4 separate regions of the Mus musculus genome follow, and all the other regions are reported to be linked to region 1. Evidence: microRNA targets listed by miRTarBase, many of them from high-throughput screens and not tested one by one. Region 1 holds a microRNA gene; each other region holds the end of a gene's coding sequence.
What was found. The annotated mature microRNA mmu-miR-200b-3p reads UAAUACUGCCUGGUAAUGAUGA and lies in region 1 at 2,630-2,651, shown strand. An mRNA with a match to its seed (bases 2 to 7 or 8) in the 3' UTR can be bound and repressed. Matches are read on the target gene's strand: a 7mer-m8 pairs with bases 2 to 8, a 7mer-A1 pairs with bases 2 to 7 and ends in A, and an 8mer does both.

Region 2: the mRNA of Cradd is a reported target of mmu-miR-200b-3p. Seed matches in the 3' UTR shown: 7mer-A1 at 3,352-3,358.
Region 3: miRTarBase lists Plxnc1 as a target of mmu-miR-200b-3p. Seed matches in the 3' UTR shown: 7mer-m8 at 649-655 and 7mer-A1 at 1,350-1,356.
Region 4: miRTarBase lists Zfpm2 as a target of mmu-miR-200b-3p. Seed matches in the 3' UTR shown: 7mer-m8 at 448-454 and 7mer-m8 at 987-993.

The regions. Positions count from the first base shown.
Region 1 is chr4:156,053,995-156,058,335 of GRCm38, reverse strand. Mir200b (microRNA 200b) reads left to right here and starts at 2,586; the gene lies at 2,586-2,655. Gm13648 (predicted gene 13648) reads left to right here. Exons shown (of 2, transcript NR_132444.1): 2 at 4,307-4,341. It overlaps Mir200a (microRNA 200a), which reads left to right and starts at 3,351; the gene lies at 3,351-3,440.
Region 2 is chr10:95,171,887-95,175,886 of GRCm38, forward strand. It overlaps Cradd (CASP2 and RIPK1 domain containing adaptor with death domain), which reads right to left. Exons shown (of 3, transcript NM_001330138.1): 3 at 2,853-4,000. The coding sequence ends at 3,791. Among named protein-coding and RNA genes, the nearest start is that of Gm29684, 28 kb to the left of the region's middle.
Region 3 is chr10:94,789,553-94,793,552 of GRCm38, reverse strand. It overlaps Plxnc1 (plexin C1), which reads left to right. Exons shown (of 31, transcript NM_018797.3): 31 at 263-2,687. The coding sequence ends at 367. It overlaps Cep83 (centrosomal protein 83), which reads right to left. Exons shown (of 16, transcript NM_029852.2): 16 at 3,217-3,849. The coding sequence ends at 3,745. Among named protein-coding and RNA genes, the nearest start is that of Cep83, 100 kb to the right of the region's middle.
Region 4 is chr15:41,103,353-41,107,352 of GRCm38, forward strand. Zfpm2 (zinc finger protein, multitype 2) reads left to right here. Exons shown (of 8, transcript NM_011766.5): 8 at 1-1,240. The coding sequence ends at 224. Among named protein-coding and RNA genes, the nearest start is that of Gm46502, 69 kb to the right of the region's middle.

The sequences.
Region 1 (4,341 bases):
GAGCAATCGGTAGATTGTTGAATCAAGCAAAATGTTTTGCATTTATGAAAATGCAAATGAGCCATAAAATATGGATATAGTCCATTGTTAATTTTCAGGCATCTTGGTAATTTGCAAATACTTTATTTGCAAAATCAATTTGCCAGGATGTTCTTAGTGTGTAAAATGGCCTAAGGAAGTTCCCCGGTCGCAGGAGGCTGGCACTCAGGGGTGCAGTGGACCTGGAGGGTGAGCTATACAACCGAAGGGCTAAGGGACAATGCTGACGGCTGTGTGGATGAAATGGCGGCTTTGCCTTGAAGACACGCAGTTCCAACAGCCACTAAGAGGTAGCCTGAGTGTAGACAAGACAAGTCTTTCCTGCCCCCACCCTCCCCCTCCCACAGCCGCTGGCATCGAAGTTAGGAGAGGTTGACTTTCAGAGCTTTGTTCTCTGGCCTCAGCATTGATTAAGGCCCCTTGAGCAAGTTAACCAGCAACTTCCCACACTGGGAACGCGTTCCTCTGCCACAAATTCCCAACCTTCCCTGGCCTCGCAGGCGAGGATCAAGGCACTCTGGAAAGGGGGAGGGTGCTTGCTGCAGAGGAGCCTTGGGGGCACTTGGCTTCTGGATCCATTCCTTAATTTTCCTAAACTAAGCCTAGTAGATGCTGATAATTAGCTGTGGGGACCATGACCTGAACCTCACTTTCAGATACAACTGACCAGATGGGCACCACACAGGCTCCAAATAGAACCCCTGTTTTTGCTTTTCATTTCTTGACCTATGGCTGTAATTCTGTCATGTTTTTGTCTCTCCCTTCCCCCTATGCTGGATAAAGCAGGGTCCCCCATACTCAACAGTGCTTGGACACCAAGACACCCAGTCCCAACTCATGACTTTTAGAATCTGTTCAGCCTTTAAATTTTGCTGGAGGACCTACAGAATCTGCATTTTGAAGGTTGTACACACACACACACACACACACTGCTGTCTGAGCACCTGCCCCCATATATCTGACCTTTTGGCTTATGCCCGGGCCAGCTATGCACTTGGCAGAGTCCCCTAGCCTCCCATGTTCCCTAAGAAGTGCTCACCCTGAGTAGTCAAGGATGCAGGGATCAGGCTCATCATTAGATACCATTTCGTCTTCCCTGTTTCTTTGGCACAACCAGAAGGGGGAAAGGCAACATCCTTGGTGCTTACCCTCACCCAGCTCCCACACTCTTTGTGGCTCTGAAGCCACAAGGATAACTGAAATTCTGCTTAGTCCACTTAGTTCTCAAATAGAATCCTTAGTTTGCCAAAGCTCAGAGAGAGAGAGAGAGAGAGAGAGAGAGAGAGAGAGAGAGAAAGTCCTTTTGAAGCACCGGTTTTATGAATCTGATAGGATAGAACTAAAAAAGTTCGGGAAAGGGGAAGTATATCTGACGGGTGTTTGAGAGCACTGGGAACCTTGTAGGCGATAGACGAAGAGTTAGGACAGTTTCTAAAACCTTAGGCTCCTATAGAGTGTCCATTCCCATCTGCTCAGCCTGTGCTCAGGTCAGGTCCTCAGAAATGTTGGCTTTCAGGAGAGAGGCTGGAGAACTAGCGGCTGCCTGGAGGCAGTGACACACGCCTTCGTTGTGATCCGAGGAAATCAGTACAGGGCTTGAGCCACCTGTATTGTGTCTGTGATAGAAAAGACCAGAAAAACGAGAAGAAATACTTCTGTAAAGACGGACTTGGGATGAGGAGAGGCACAGATTGAGTCTCTTTCAGTCCCAAGTATCCTTGGGACAGGTGCTTAGTTTCTTGGCTCTGTATGGGAGACTACAGGCTATGTCCTTAGCAACAAAAAGATCTTTCTATGGGTATGTGATTATTGTATTCATACTGGGGGCTGCTTTTCCCATACGCTTGAAGTGTTGGATCCCTGGTCCCTCATCCCAGTATCCTTCTTGGGCCCTGAAAAAGGCAAGAGGGGCTGGGCAGGAAAGTAGACTTGAACAGTATCCTGGAGACAGAGGCCCACTGAGTGAACCTCATCAACCTTAAGTACACTGTGTACCCTAATGGGACTGGACCTGTTGTCTAGGCTATTCTGTAGTGAATATACTCAGATGGAGGGCCTGTCTATGACCTGATCCTGACCTGGCCATTGGTCACATGGAAGTCTACATAGCCTGCCTCCCAGCTCTTTCGGGCTGTCAGCCTCTGGGAAGGACTATTTGACCCTTCAAAGTCCTCACCTGGGCCCCAAGCTAGTCCACTGCAGGTCAGGTTTGGCTGGGCAGGGGAACTTGTCTATGGCCATGGGTGCTAAGTCCTTCCTCTGGGCCTTATAGAGAGGCAAGAAAGAGGCTTCAGGGCCTATAAGACCCCCATCCTAATTATTTTCCATCTAATTTCCAAAAGAGAACTTGATCTTACTTCAAGCTGTTGACCTCTCCACTACCTATCTTTGGAGATGAGAATGCAGGGCTTTCTGCTGTTGTCCTGAAGGGGTGCCCTCCTTCTGCAATGCTCTGGGGATTAGGACACTTAGGCATCTGGGCCCTGCCCATGGAATCTAGTCATCTTCAACTCCCTGCTAGGCGGCCTCCATATCCAACTTGGGCAGCCGTGGCCATCTTACTGGGCAGCATTGGATAGTGTCTGATCTCTAATACTGCCTGGTAATGATGACGGCGGAGCCCTGCATGCAGCAATGGAGCCGCCTCCTGATCCCAGCCTCCAGGGGCCCCAGTTCCACACCTCACCTACCTTATCCAAGGTAGGGCTATGGGGCAAAGAGTTAGCCTTGGCGATATGGGTGGTGGGAGGCTTTAGGGAGAGTTCCCCCAAACCAGGCACCTCTGAGGGCCACTCTATATCCTGGGGTGAGAGGCTCCTCCCATTGCCCTGGGGGCGCCCCCTCCCAATGCCCTGGGAATTAGGACAGTCAAGTGCCTGGGTTCTGCATACAATACCCAGGCAGGTGCTGCCACCACACCTGGCAGGTGTACGCTGGGTGGAAGTGCAGCAAAGGCTCTAAAGGGCTAAGTCTCCGCCTAGGCTCAGAGGGCCTCATGCCAAAAACTGCCTCACCTACATCTAGGAGCTGTGTACTGATTGACCCCCTAGTGGGGCTACTCAAGCCTGGGATACCTTACCTTCCTGCATCAAGTGAGCACCGACCTATTGACCAACAGCACCTCCAACATGCACACTGAGCCAATGTGTCACTGTCCCCTTGCTTTGGACAAAGCAGACCGTATGAGTTAGGGTCAACATCTCTGCTGGCTTATTGCGATGCATATACGGTCTCTGGCTGTTCATGGCATCAGGTTTCCACTGGGCCTCCCTGAGGGTGGAAACCACCTGTGTCTTCCTGCCAGAGCATACCTGGGCCTCTGTGGGCATCTTACCGGACAGTGCTGGATTTCTTGGCTTGACTCTAACACTGTCTGGTAACGATGTTCAAAGGTGACCCACCATTCGCCGAAGACAGGCTGATGATACACACTTGTCCTCCTGGACTCCAGTTAGGCCGAGGCTGGGTGCTGGGTGCAGAGGGCCTGTCTCAGCTCTACAGATCAGCAGTCAGTGGGGGCTGGACTTTGACCCTTGTCTATTACTTCATGCTGGGACAAGGGATGGTTTCACCATGCCAGGGGTACTGGAGTAGAAGTGGATTGTCACTCATTCTCAGAGCAGCGATGCCCACCTTTGCCAACTCCTCTGCTGGATTTGGGGGTTCATTGATTCCTAGAGAGACTGTGAGGGTTAGTGAGGATGCTGAGCTAGGTAAGGAGACATGGATAGCAGTGTTAGCATAAGGACTGTCAGTGCCTATGGGACCAATGGGCAAGGGTGGGTTCGGGGACCTGAGCCTGGTACACAGAATTGTGACGTCATCAGCTGTTTCCTAATTAAGAACAAGGAATCTCTATTCCTTCCCAATGGCTTTCCAGAATAGGAACTTTGCCCCAAACCAGAATCCAGGATTACTTCTTATCTTTCTTTACTTGGAGCCAGAGTACAGGGTCAGGGAGCCCCACCCAGTATCAGCCTAGATGACTCTTCCGGGGGAAGGAGTCTGTTCCTGGCTTTAATGTTACTCATTAAGCTGACAGCCATTCAGAAAACCAAAGAGGTGCTATGACGAGCATTTGCCAAGTAAGAGTGAGCAGATGACTCTCCTGTTGCACCCACAGACTTCCACACTTGAGGAACAGGCAACCAAGCTGGGCCCTGGTAAGAAAGTCCTTAGAGTAGTCCCAGGTCCTAGAAGGGTGAACCCCAAGAATGGCCCTTGGACCAGAGCAGGCAGGAAGCCAACCCTGGCCTTCCCTCTACAGGTATCAAATCCAACTGCCCAGATGGGGAGGCCCTT
Region 2 (4,000 bases), not on the chromosome of region 1:
TCAAAATTATATGTCAACATGTCTGTGTAGAACATTATACGTACATGTCTGCATCTGTGCACATCAGAGTGTGCAAGTGCTCAATGTGTTTTCTGAAGAAAGTCTCTATCATTTTCTAATATTTGTAAAGGAAGAAATCTGTGCCCTTCAATGGAGAAGAACCACTTCCTACGGCAGATGTTCTGGGCCTTCATAGACATCCCCTGCGCAGATGCCTCATCCTTGGTCAAAGTGTGTTCCAGAGGCGCGAGGTCATTGCCATCTATTTCCAGCTTAGCCATGAGGAGGCATCCAGCCTCATCCGGGGTCAGCACTGAGCTAAGTCACCTCGAAGTCATTGGCACTGGCAAGGTGCTCACAACACCAATTTGTCTCCCTAGAAACAGGGACGGTTAAGTGTCACCAAGAGCAAAAAGAATAATTATTTCATGACATCCAGCCCATTTTACATTTTCCGAAAATACTCTCCATCAAGAATGTAATGTGACACCCAAAACAGCACTGGCTAGAGATAAAATACGAAAATGAGATGGAAATACATGCTTATTGCCAAGATGTTGAATCTGCTTTTTCTTTCTGAGCATTCAAACCTGGATTTCATAGCTGATGCTTTGAATGAACAATAGCTATCAGAATCACTACCATATGTTTCTCGTGAGCTTAACAAAGCAGAGACAAGGTTTAATTGGCTCACTGAACTGTGTCTTTGAGAGACTTTAATTTTCCTATAAGAACAGTAAGTGCCAACAAGACAGACGTCCCTGTTCCTCTCAGATGTTTATAGTTCAGGGAAGTAAACAAGACATTATATTAAAAACATTCCCTGTATGCTGCAACATCTATTTTGAATTTGTACAAGTGTTGGGGTGGGGGAGAGAGGGGTGCTATAAAAAGCACCCTCAAATATGCCTGATACCTAAATCCTTGAAGCCTGATCCTGATTTTACTGTGGCTGAACACTCCACTGCTATAAAGAAGTATGGAACAGGATGGTATTTGTCAATGTGTTTAGTTTCTAATGGCTCCGAGATAGCATTTTGGAGGCATATGCATCTTGTAGACATTTGGAAGGAGTGCCATTTGTCAAGCTGGATGAAGAAGACATTAAATGGAATTCTGGTGTCTCCTAATATCCCCTAAGGGGGGGGCTATCACGCTAACTTGGGCAGGGCTTACAAGAGCTCAGCCGAAGTGTCATCTCCTCTGTGGCCAACTTAATTGCTCCCTTTTCTGTGAAGTGTCAGAGTTGCCTGGCTGTTATGGCTGCCTTCCTGGAGGGCCGAGATCCTGCTGGGCAGAGACTGTGTCTTATTTATCTTCGGATCTCCAGTAACTTGGGTGTTTTGTAACCAGCAAGAATTTGTGCCCCAACTGTAGGGATTCATTTAATGAGAGCTAAGTGTTAGATCAGAGTCCCACCCAGGTTCTGGACATGCTCTGCCGTGTGCTGCCAGTTCATTTTTCCTTACCCTGAGTCCCTAGGGATGCCCAGAAGAGCTGCACACTCTCAGCTGCTGTACAAGCCCCAGAAGGATGAGGGACCTCAGCCTAACATTTTGAGGGACCCTGGCTTGATAAAGAATATTAGGGAAAACAAAACAAAACAAAACAAAACAAAACTCAGTAGCCAAAATAATTCAGCTCAGACATTTCCTTGTCCAAACCCACTGTATGAACAATTTATCTTTTTTACCTCTGGCAGATCCTCTGCACTCATAGACCAGTTAGTGTGCATACGTGAATAAACCTGCCCAAGAAGGTGGAGTGATTTACCTGAGTGACGGAGCCTTCTTTTTCTTCAGGCCCCCCATCCCCTCAAAAGCAAACCAGAGGGGGTCCTTTTGCTCTGTTCCCACTGGCTCAGTACTCAGGAGTGGAATTGTCACATCATGTTGTGATTAGAGGTCTGTGGCTGTCTCATGTGGCAGTGAGCTCCAGAGAGTAGGGCTTGTGTCTTTGTTGGTCGGCTTTAATGTCCTCAATTAACAGAGATGAGATTAGCCTCTCAGCCGCATTAGCTTTTCCGGAAAGATCTGAGCAAATGTCTGTGTGCCTCAGAGAGGGCTTCTGAAGATGACAGACCAAAGAAACCACTCCACCCAAATCTGGACTGGTACAAGAATGAGTTTTACTAGGACTACTTGTGAGGACAATGGTGAGAAGTCACAGGGACACTTACAGGTGACAACTATACTGCCAGTCTCTCCCTCCGGCAACTGTCAATTGCGCATACACCCTCAGGAAGCAGAGGGGCTGTGTGCAACTTCTGTGTTGACTGTCCCTCCCCTAACATTCTCTTGAAGAAAAGAAACACAGCGGTAATTAGATGTAGTACAGTGGAGAGGACATCTTGGGGCAAGGGACAAAACTCAGAATGCAGACATGCTAAGCTTTGTGAGGATGCAAGGTGCACAGTGCAGGCAGTGAACAATAGTTTGCTCGGATTGGTTCTGGGTGGGGTGGGGTTATGGGTGTGTCAAGCAAGAACTGCAATGCCAGCGAACTTCTTGATGGGGAAAGCAGTTGGTAGACTTAGAAGCTGAGTGCCTTCAATCTCTTTAAAGGTGCTGCCAAAACGATAGCTCTTGCAAGTGTGCTCTAAGAGCAAAGGATGTTGTAAAGGCCTTTGGCATTGGAACAAGTGCTATGTGTTAAGGCAAGGAAGCCAAGTGTTAAAGAGCCTTACAGGGCAATCCTGCTCCAGCTGCAGAAGGGATGTGCGGGCGGGCTTAACTAAGAAACTGACGGCAGAGCAGAGCAAAGCTGACTGACTGCGGGGAGTACAAGGAGACTCTTGCTTCTCCTCATCTTATCTATTGTTAGGTTTTTGAAAGGACACAATGGACACGCACTTTATTTGCACTGAGAGAATTTAATAGAAGTTACACATTTTAAAATGTTGAAAGAAGCAGTCATGTACAGGTGATCCTCCTGCTTCAGTCTCTTAGATGGGATGACAAACACGTACACCTGTCTGGCTAACACTATGTGCAGTTAATGAAAGGCTGGACAACCCATGACGCCCCTCGGGAACTCACCGCCTTCAGCCATTCAGGCCTCAAGAGAAACACTGAGCCCTCTTGTCTCTGATCCAATGCCTTTAACAAATGGACAGAGACTCCTCATACAATTTGTTAAGATGAAGGTCTTCCGTTCTCTCCCTGGCCTCTGCAGGGAGCTTCGGTGTCTCATGCTTAATCTATACATCCTGCCTGAGTTATTTATCTCCGTCGTCACATGACTGCTATCAATCTTGCTCCACTCCCATATTTTTACACCCTCCGTCTATGCAACAGAAGAGTGGTGTGTGTGTGTGTATGTGTGTGTGTGTGTGTGTGTGTGTGTGTGATATAATACTCTCTCATTGAAAGAGGCACATTCTATATCACAATTTGCTTTTTTATTATCATCACCATTATGAAGAGCTAAATGCACAATCCAGTCTCCAGGCAACACAAGTGTAGCTGCCTTGTATGCAGGACACCTGCATTCGATGCTGTAGCATGATTTTTTGGGGGGTTGGGTAGGGTGGGTGTTGTGTTTTTTCTGGCCTCCTGTTAAAGGCCAGCCACAAAGTTCCAAACCATAGTTACAACAGCGCAGTCTTCAAGCAATTAAAGCCAATCGATGGTTGAGTGAGTGGTGGACGATCTCTTTCCGTAAACAGATCACTGAAAAGCCCAGAACAAAGCCACCTGCTGAGAAAAGTCCGGTTCAGCCAGTGTGACTTGGGAACCCACGCCCCACCACCCCCACAGCAAGTGGGGGGGGGGCGCGGGGGGGGGTCAGGTCACTCCAGCATGTGCTGGAGCAGGGAGGGATCAGCCTCCACTGCCTGGAGGCCCTTGTGTAAGCTTAGGAAGGTGGCCTGCTTCCCAAAACGCTGGCGCCAGCGGACAAAGGCCTCCACCACCTGCGAATGCACGTTGTGGGGATGGTTGGCCTTGCAGCGGTAGATGTCGGTCTGGGACAGTCCCAGAGACAGGACCACGGGCTCCCA
Region 3 (4,000 bases), not on the chromosome of region 1:
AGCAAATAGATGGTATTTCTTTCGGGCTTCTATTTCAAGCCCAAGTGTTGTTGATCCTGTGATAATGACTTAGCAAAACAACTTGCAAAGTGAGTATGGAAATGATCGAAGAAACTGCTGGCATCTGTTTCATACAGATTTTTACCACTCACAGCATCAGGAATGCAAAAAAGAAAAGAGAGAGAAAGAGCAAGCCCACCAGAATTGTGAATTGTACTGCTAAAACTCTAATATGTAAAATAACTGTTCTAATTGTCAACAGATTCTAAATAAACTAGAAAGAGAACGAGGGCTGGAAGAAGCTCAGAAACAACTCTTGCATGTAAAAGTCTTATTTGATGAAAAGAAGAAATGCAAGTGGATGTAAGCACCCTGGGGCCTGGCTTTATTTGACAAAGTTCTTCAGACAGCTTGGGAGCAAACTGGCTGCTTGAGCTACTCTTTGTCGTTAATTTCTTAAGTTTGCACATGGGTTCCACTTCGAGCACTGTCCTTTAGGAGACCAAGGCACATGCACAGCTTTTAGAAAGCGTTATCAACCACTGTGCCTGTGGGTATATCGTGGGAACCTTTCTGTAAATAGAGCTGAAGTGGTTGTTGCAAACAGCCTCCTTGTTTACAGAGAATACAGGGCCAGTAAGCAAGTGTCAGTATTGTAACTACAGTCTCCACTTAAGCACAATGATATCTAAGTGGTTTTGTTGGAAAACTACAGCTATGTAGTACTTGTGACTACACTGTACTTCTGCAGAAGAAAGGGGATACTAACAAAGCTCAGAGTGTGGAAGGAGTCCTTTGGAAACCCGGAGGGGGTGTTAGGGCAACCCTGAGGGTCTGCGGCATTCCTCCTCTTTCCCCAGTAGTTCTTGGAAAGGCTGAAGGCAGAATTTGGTAGTGTGTACACTTAGCATTCGTGAGTGTGTGTGTTTAAACCAAAAACTAACAGTGTTGCAACATTGTTGAAAGGGCTCGTGTTTTTCAGTGGTTGCCAGCCGGGCTCCTCAGCCCACCTCCATCTCATCAACGCAGCTCTAAAGCAAGGAGAGTGGGTGGGTCTCACTGAAATGCAACAGCAGTTTTCCCAGACTCTGTCCTACGGTGTGTCTCTTTTTTATCTTTTCATGTATCTGGTAGTGGACATGTTGGGTATTGTAAGAAAAAGAGTTCATGACTTTACTTCTGTTTGATCAGAACTGTCTGTGGATGTGTAAGTCACTCCTGTAATCTTACATTTCTATGCTAGTGTCTCCTTGCTTTAGATTTCTGGTGAACCCTGTGGTTATAAATACTTGTGTGTGATTAAAATAAAAGATACATTTTACATTTCATCAAATTGTTGTTCACATTGGAGTATTATATATAAATATATATATTTGAGGCCCAAGGCCTGGAAAATATTAGTACAACTTGGTATCTTAGTCTTACTATGTACTTTTTGAAAGTATTCCTTACAGGAGAAAGATTTAAAAATACTCATTTTATTCGTGCCTCTTTTTTTTTTTTTCAAAGAATTTCCTATCAAGTTATACTGTAGTCTTTTTTATTGCTGATTTTTTTATTCCCAAATTTTTGCTGCTCGTGACCAATTTTAATACCACTGTGCTTTCCTTCTATTAAACAGAAGTAAAAAGTGTCACCTGACGGCCCTCTCACTTACCTTGTGGCAGGCACCCCTACCCTTGGGGTTCCAAACCCCCAGTTTAGGAAGGACTTTTCTTTCAATCAGCCAATCAAACCTTGAGCACACATTCCTCAAAACCATTTACCAGCACTGCCTGGCCCATCTAGACTGCAATGTCCTGGTAAATGGCAGTCCTTTCTCTTCCTTACTATCTGACACCTCAACAGTGCAGTGGCTGCCCTGACAGACGCCCTCCCAATCTTGTTTCTTGTGACTACTGTCTGTCCAATGGACACATCTCAAAACTACTACCAAATAGTCTATTTCTAAGTAGAAAGGTGAGAGGTCTGGTCCCCATTTAAAGCTGCTACCGTCTTTAAAGAGGTGAAGGCATTCCTAAGAGAAAAGTTGGAGGAGACTTGAGAGCCAAGGGTAGGAGAATTGCCCAACAAACCTTCCCTTCTCTGGGGAACAGAAACGCAAAGGCTGAGCCACAGCTTTAGCTGTGTTACAAATGCTACACCAGGGGGTCCCTGTCCAGCTCTCTGACATGAGTCCTGTGTGAGCCTTACCGCCTCTTTCAGGAGTTAGGAACTTTGGGCAAGTCACTTACCTCTTTGTGCCTCAATTTCTGTATACTATTTCTAACCTACCTCACTGAGGTGGTGTGAAGATTCACTAATGTATGTAGTGTGTTTGTCAATCCTCCAGTGGAAAGCACTATCTAGATCACACTTTGGATCCCATTAGCCAAATGCACAGAATGTCCAAATTAGATGTGTGCTGAAGACAATCAGTCACTGGGCCTCTATTCAACAACTAAAGAAGCAAATGACAAACAGTATCTAGTTTCAAGTTTCTTTGCATATTTTTGGTGCAAAACAATTAATTTATAAACTTTTTTTTCTAACACTAGTGTCTAAAGCAGCACTTAAAAATTACTTCTGTTATCTTTTCTGTATTAGGATTTAAAGTCTATTTCTTACTGTATACCTGACTGAAGTTGTTCTTGGAGATGAATGTTTTAAATGTCTATATCCAAAAATAAACATTTTGATGTAACAAATGTGGACTGTTTGTCTTTTCTAGTTTTAATAGGTTTCTTAACCTAAATTACTTTCCAGGAACAAGATGTCACGGTACATTGCATATAAATAAGCAGCTCCGCTCAGTAAACCAAGCTCCTTGCTAAATGGCGCCAAGAGCTGCTCACTTATATTCCTGTCTTCAGTGAGCAACCTGACTTTTGGCTGCTGAGACGTCTATACAATGACAAATCCACATAAATTTAAGCTTCCGTTTGCTGACATGAAATTATTCCAGTGGAATCCCTCTAAAACATTACATAAAGAAGCTTCCAAAGATGCACAATGAAAACAGAAGGACATAAAACATCATTATTTGATCCTTACCTAACAGTGAGAAACCAAACTAAATGTCAGCGGTACTTCAATACCTCACTGCTTCAAGTAAGACCAACAACTCTTTACAGCCACAGGACTTCATTTTCTAAAACTCACCAAAGCCACAGAAGTGATGCCATCTCAACTGTTTAGTACATATTCTATGATCAGGAAAATTAAACACAAACAGCAGAGATACAAAAATATTTATTAAGTTATTCAATAAATTAAGTGCACAGCTTTTAGAAAAGGTAAAGATTTCTATAATAAACATGTTTAGAAACTTTTAAGTGGTTTTTATACTTATAAATGATTATCTTTTCCAAAACTTTTATATATAATAAAGGAGATGTTTATTGGTTTTGTCATTACCAAGGAGGCATCTCAAAGATGAGGAAAAGGGACTTCAGGGTGGATATATTTCAAGCAAAATGCCAGAAAATATCAACAAAACAGAAATTAATTTGAAAACTTGATTTTTTTAACTAACTAGTTCCTTTTATTTTTGCATTGTCAAAAGATTGTCAATGCATGTTCTAAATATATGAATACTTTCATTTTCTTAGTATAATCCTAAAATCTTGGAGCCCATGCAGTGCGCTGCTAGTACCTTTTCTTGAGGCAGCTCATGGATTTTGGCAAACAGGAAGAAGGCGTCTCAGTGCCACACGTTACCCGTCAGACTTTTATTGAGTCTCTGGCTTTGCCTGTCTTCAGGCTTCACTCCCCAGGAGACCCAAGCTCCTCCAGTTGTTTTCTTTGTGTAGTCTCCAGTTCTTCCAGTCTTTTGCGAAGGAGAGAGAGCTCTCTTTGATGTTGTTCCTCCTTAAAAATGACACATTAAGAGAAACCTAGAAAAACTAGGAACGTCCCTGCCTCTCTTCCATAAGCCTCCAAAGTGTGGCACAGAAATGACCCAGGTTAGCTATGTAAAAACTAGTTGCTCTTCTCTCCTGCCTCAGACTGCACTCTTAAG
Region 4 (4,000 bases), not on the chromosome of region 1:
GGATCTCTGAGAACCCATTAGCTGCAAATGAGAATGTCTCCCCAGGAATTCCCTGCGCAGAAGAACAGTTGTCTAGCATAGCAAAAGGTGTGAATGGCGCCAGCCAGGCTCCCAGCAGTGGAAAATACTGCCGGCTATGCGATATTCAGTTCAATAATCTTTCGAACTTTATAACTCACAAGAAGTTTTATTGCTCATCACATGCAGCAGAACATGTCAAATGAACTAACTGAGTTACTAAAGAAAGCAGTCACCTTTGGTACCCGTGTTTAGTATGTTCTTCTAAACAGTCCAGAAAACAAAGACGCTGTTTGAATTACATCTGGCAATCAGGAGATAATTCATTATGGCTGAATTGAAGACTTAAGGTGTAATTTCATTACAGACCATTAGTAAAGTGTATTATTGGTGCCATTTTCAGAAAAAAAAATTAATTTATTTTACCAGCAGTATTCATAGCTGTGGTTATGTTATTTTTATTTAAAAACTTTATATTAAAGTCATTTGTAATGATTGTATAGTTCTTGTGTAGCACATATGGTTTGCACTGTATAGTAGCTTTTAAAGAAAATAGTCACAAACAATACAGAAGAGCATTTTAGAAATAGCTTCAAAAGCACTTGTGTATTCTGATTTTTTCTTATATGCTGTTGCAGATATTCGTATATGCTAAAATATAACCTGCAAACATGTTCTAAATACACATGCTATAAGTTCGCCTTAAGATTTCAATTCTTGGATAATCAGGCTCCAATTGCACTTTATATTTTAGCAAATACAGTCTCTTAGTCACTAGGCTTTGCATTCGTATGTAGCCGTATATTTCTGTCCATTTTCTCAAACAGAAACATGTATGTTAAGTGAAGATGGCATTTCTTTCTTGTATAGTACTTGTATTTTCTTTCGCCGATGCAGCCCTGTCTCAATTTTTCAACCTTTGCTGTTAAATGCAATACTTTATAAAGAATGAACAAAATTACTGGAAGCAGTATTGTCAGTAATGGAGTAGTATTCACCAGTTTTATCTTTTGAAAGGCACAGTCTAAATCGAACCCCTAAACTCAATGCTGCAAGTATGAATTTAATTCATATATAAGATCTATTTAAATATAAGAGTAGCAATACTGCACCTGGTGATCACAAAGATAATGTTCTACTTCTGATAGAAATAATTTCTCAACAAATGTTGTTACTATGCATGTACATGGATGGAATAAAATTCCAAATTGTTGGAGACGTTTGATGGTCTGGGCTTTTTTTTCACCCTGAGCACCAGGTAAAATATCTAGCTCTAATTGTCACACAGTAAATAGCAACACTTTATCATCAGTTCCCTGTTCATGTCTGTTGGCAAGTTTCCCCCAAAAATGGCTGTGACAGCCAGTGTTTCATTTAATTCAGCCTTACTCACTTATTTTCAAGGCATATCAGCCTAGGACACCACACCACACTACTGTGACTAGAAACAGCAGCAGAAGCAATAAGAACAACAGCAACAACAAACTGAGATTAGAGGTGTCCCCATTTGACAGATTTTAGTATTCTGTAATGGATTTAAATTCCATAGAACAGTCTAAATGCAATCAGTGACTATAAACCATCGTCTTTTTACCACAGATATTCGGACCACTCAATTAATGCTTACAATCAGACCTCAGTTTAAAAAATTATATTCAGCATATATGTTAACGTTCCAATTAATCCCAAAAAGTAAACCATTGTAGGGGCTGTTAAGGACATTGAATCCTTTTTCATTTTCCAGCCGTACCAGAGGTTCCAAATTTTTAAGGGCCAAAAGTTTAAAAGCTAACAAGAAAGAAGCGGAAACCTGGGAATTATTCTCAGCTGTCTGTGCATCCACACCACACAGCAAAGCAGAGGCTCATGATAGTGCCAAGTGTCTTCCATGTGACTCACAAGAAGGCAGCCTTTGTAAGGGAAAACACTTCAGGGATGTCAGGTCAGCCTACTTCAGCTTGCACTCTAGAACTTGAGCAGCTGTGGAGATTTCCAGAGTGTGTGATGCCTCTGGAAACCACTGCCCGTGCAAGTGTGACTACACTGCTTAGTGGTAACACTCACCACCATGCTGCACTTTGCAACATGATTGCTCAAAAGCATCAGAAGGAACATCTGATGTTACATCCTTAGTGTGCATCAATGGCAGATGGAGAAAGCAGTGGAAATAGCACTTCTTACCTAGTACTCACAGCTTCCGGGTTCTCTGTGTCATGGGTGAATCCATGGCTCCCAGCTGTGTGTTCTACACTACTTCACAAGTAACCCCAGAGAGAAGCATTTCCCCCATTCTTGTCTGGGCATATCTTTAGGAAAGTAAGCTCTGAAGAGCTCCCCTACAGCCTTATGCCACCGAAGACTCCAATAACTATTAGGACATTATTCAGTTGGTCATCAGAGGCATTGGCAGGCAATCCAATACTTTTGTATGTTAAATTCATTAACATTAGGACCAATTCCCCTTTGCTTAGTGATTTCACACCCAACAGGCAAACAAATGAAAATTACAAAACACAGGTATAGCACATTATACCTATGAAGAGAAATATTTCTCTAATTGAAATTGAAAGGATAAAATAACTAAGATCTGTTTATTTCATAGGTGATTTTTCCTATAAAGTTATAGAAGGGACAAAGCCCTTGACAGTACCACACATCAAGCACACATTCAGAAAAAAAGCATGCCTTTGTTTCTGTAACTCAGTAATGTCAATAAACAGTAGACAAATCTTGCTCCACAACAATGTTAATCTTTTTTATTAAAAGCCAAAAGTACTTAAAGACTTTTTTTAGATGATATTATTTCTAGATTCCAGTTTTCATAGAGCTGAAATAATCTCATCTTGGGTTACTTTTCTACATAACAAATGAAATATCTGAGTAATAGGTATTTTCAGTCTTAGGGATTTAAGAAGTAAGCGACAGCCTCCTCCAAATTCCTCATTTGTCTTCAATGTCATCTTTTAATACTAAACCCTTATTAGGTTTCCTTTTGGTAAGATCAGTTTTAAATGTTTGGCATTAAAGCTAGATGCTCAGGTTTTACATTCAACTGAGTCTAATTTCATGAGTTAGTATCAGCAGTTTCTGTGTATGACTCGGGCTTGATCATCATAAAATTATGTTAAGAAGAAATGAATCTCAAAGAGTGAATTAAAACACAAATTAAAGAACTAGGTCCTGGAAAGCATCTATGATGCTTTTAATTTCAACATCTGTCTACTATTTTCCCTTTCATCACTCCTGGACCTCAAGAATGTATTCTAAGTGTCAGCGAATGGATTGGTAAATGGATAATGGAAACAGAAAAGAGTTTGTGCATGAATATCTAAGTGAATAAAAAAAATCAAAGACTATATGAGTGGTTGCTTGAAGGTTAACCTTATTTCATTAAATTGTTGATGGAAAGGAGCAATGTGCCAGATAGTTTTCAAGAAATTTCTTTTAAATATGGTGGCTGACTCTTGAAGAAAAATAAAACTACATCCATATCTGAAGCTGTTTACCAGGAAAGTCTGTCATAAATTATTTTAAACAGGAGTTTTATGTAGGAAAATAATCACAAATATATATATATATATAAATATATATATATATATATATATATATATATATGCATGTATGTGTGTGTGTGTATATGTATATATATGAAAGCATGAGGGGACTGAAAAGCATTGGGGAACTTAAGAAAGTAATCCCAAACCTGCCTGCATACTGGAGAAGCAAAAGGAAAATAGTATTTCATGGAGGGAATATCCTGCACTCTGTTGAAGTCTTGGTTACTGTGGGTTCCTTGGCACTGGAACCCTGCAGGAAGCTGGGGAGCCCAGCTCTCACGGCTCACAGTGCTAAATCCCAAGAAGCTGGATTACAGCCCATGTCCCACTAAAGCCAGAGCTCAGGAAGCCTGTGCTAGACACTAGAGGATGAGATTGCCCTCACCTGCCTTTAGGAACATTCCAGATGCACAGGGCTCTACAAT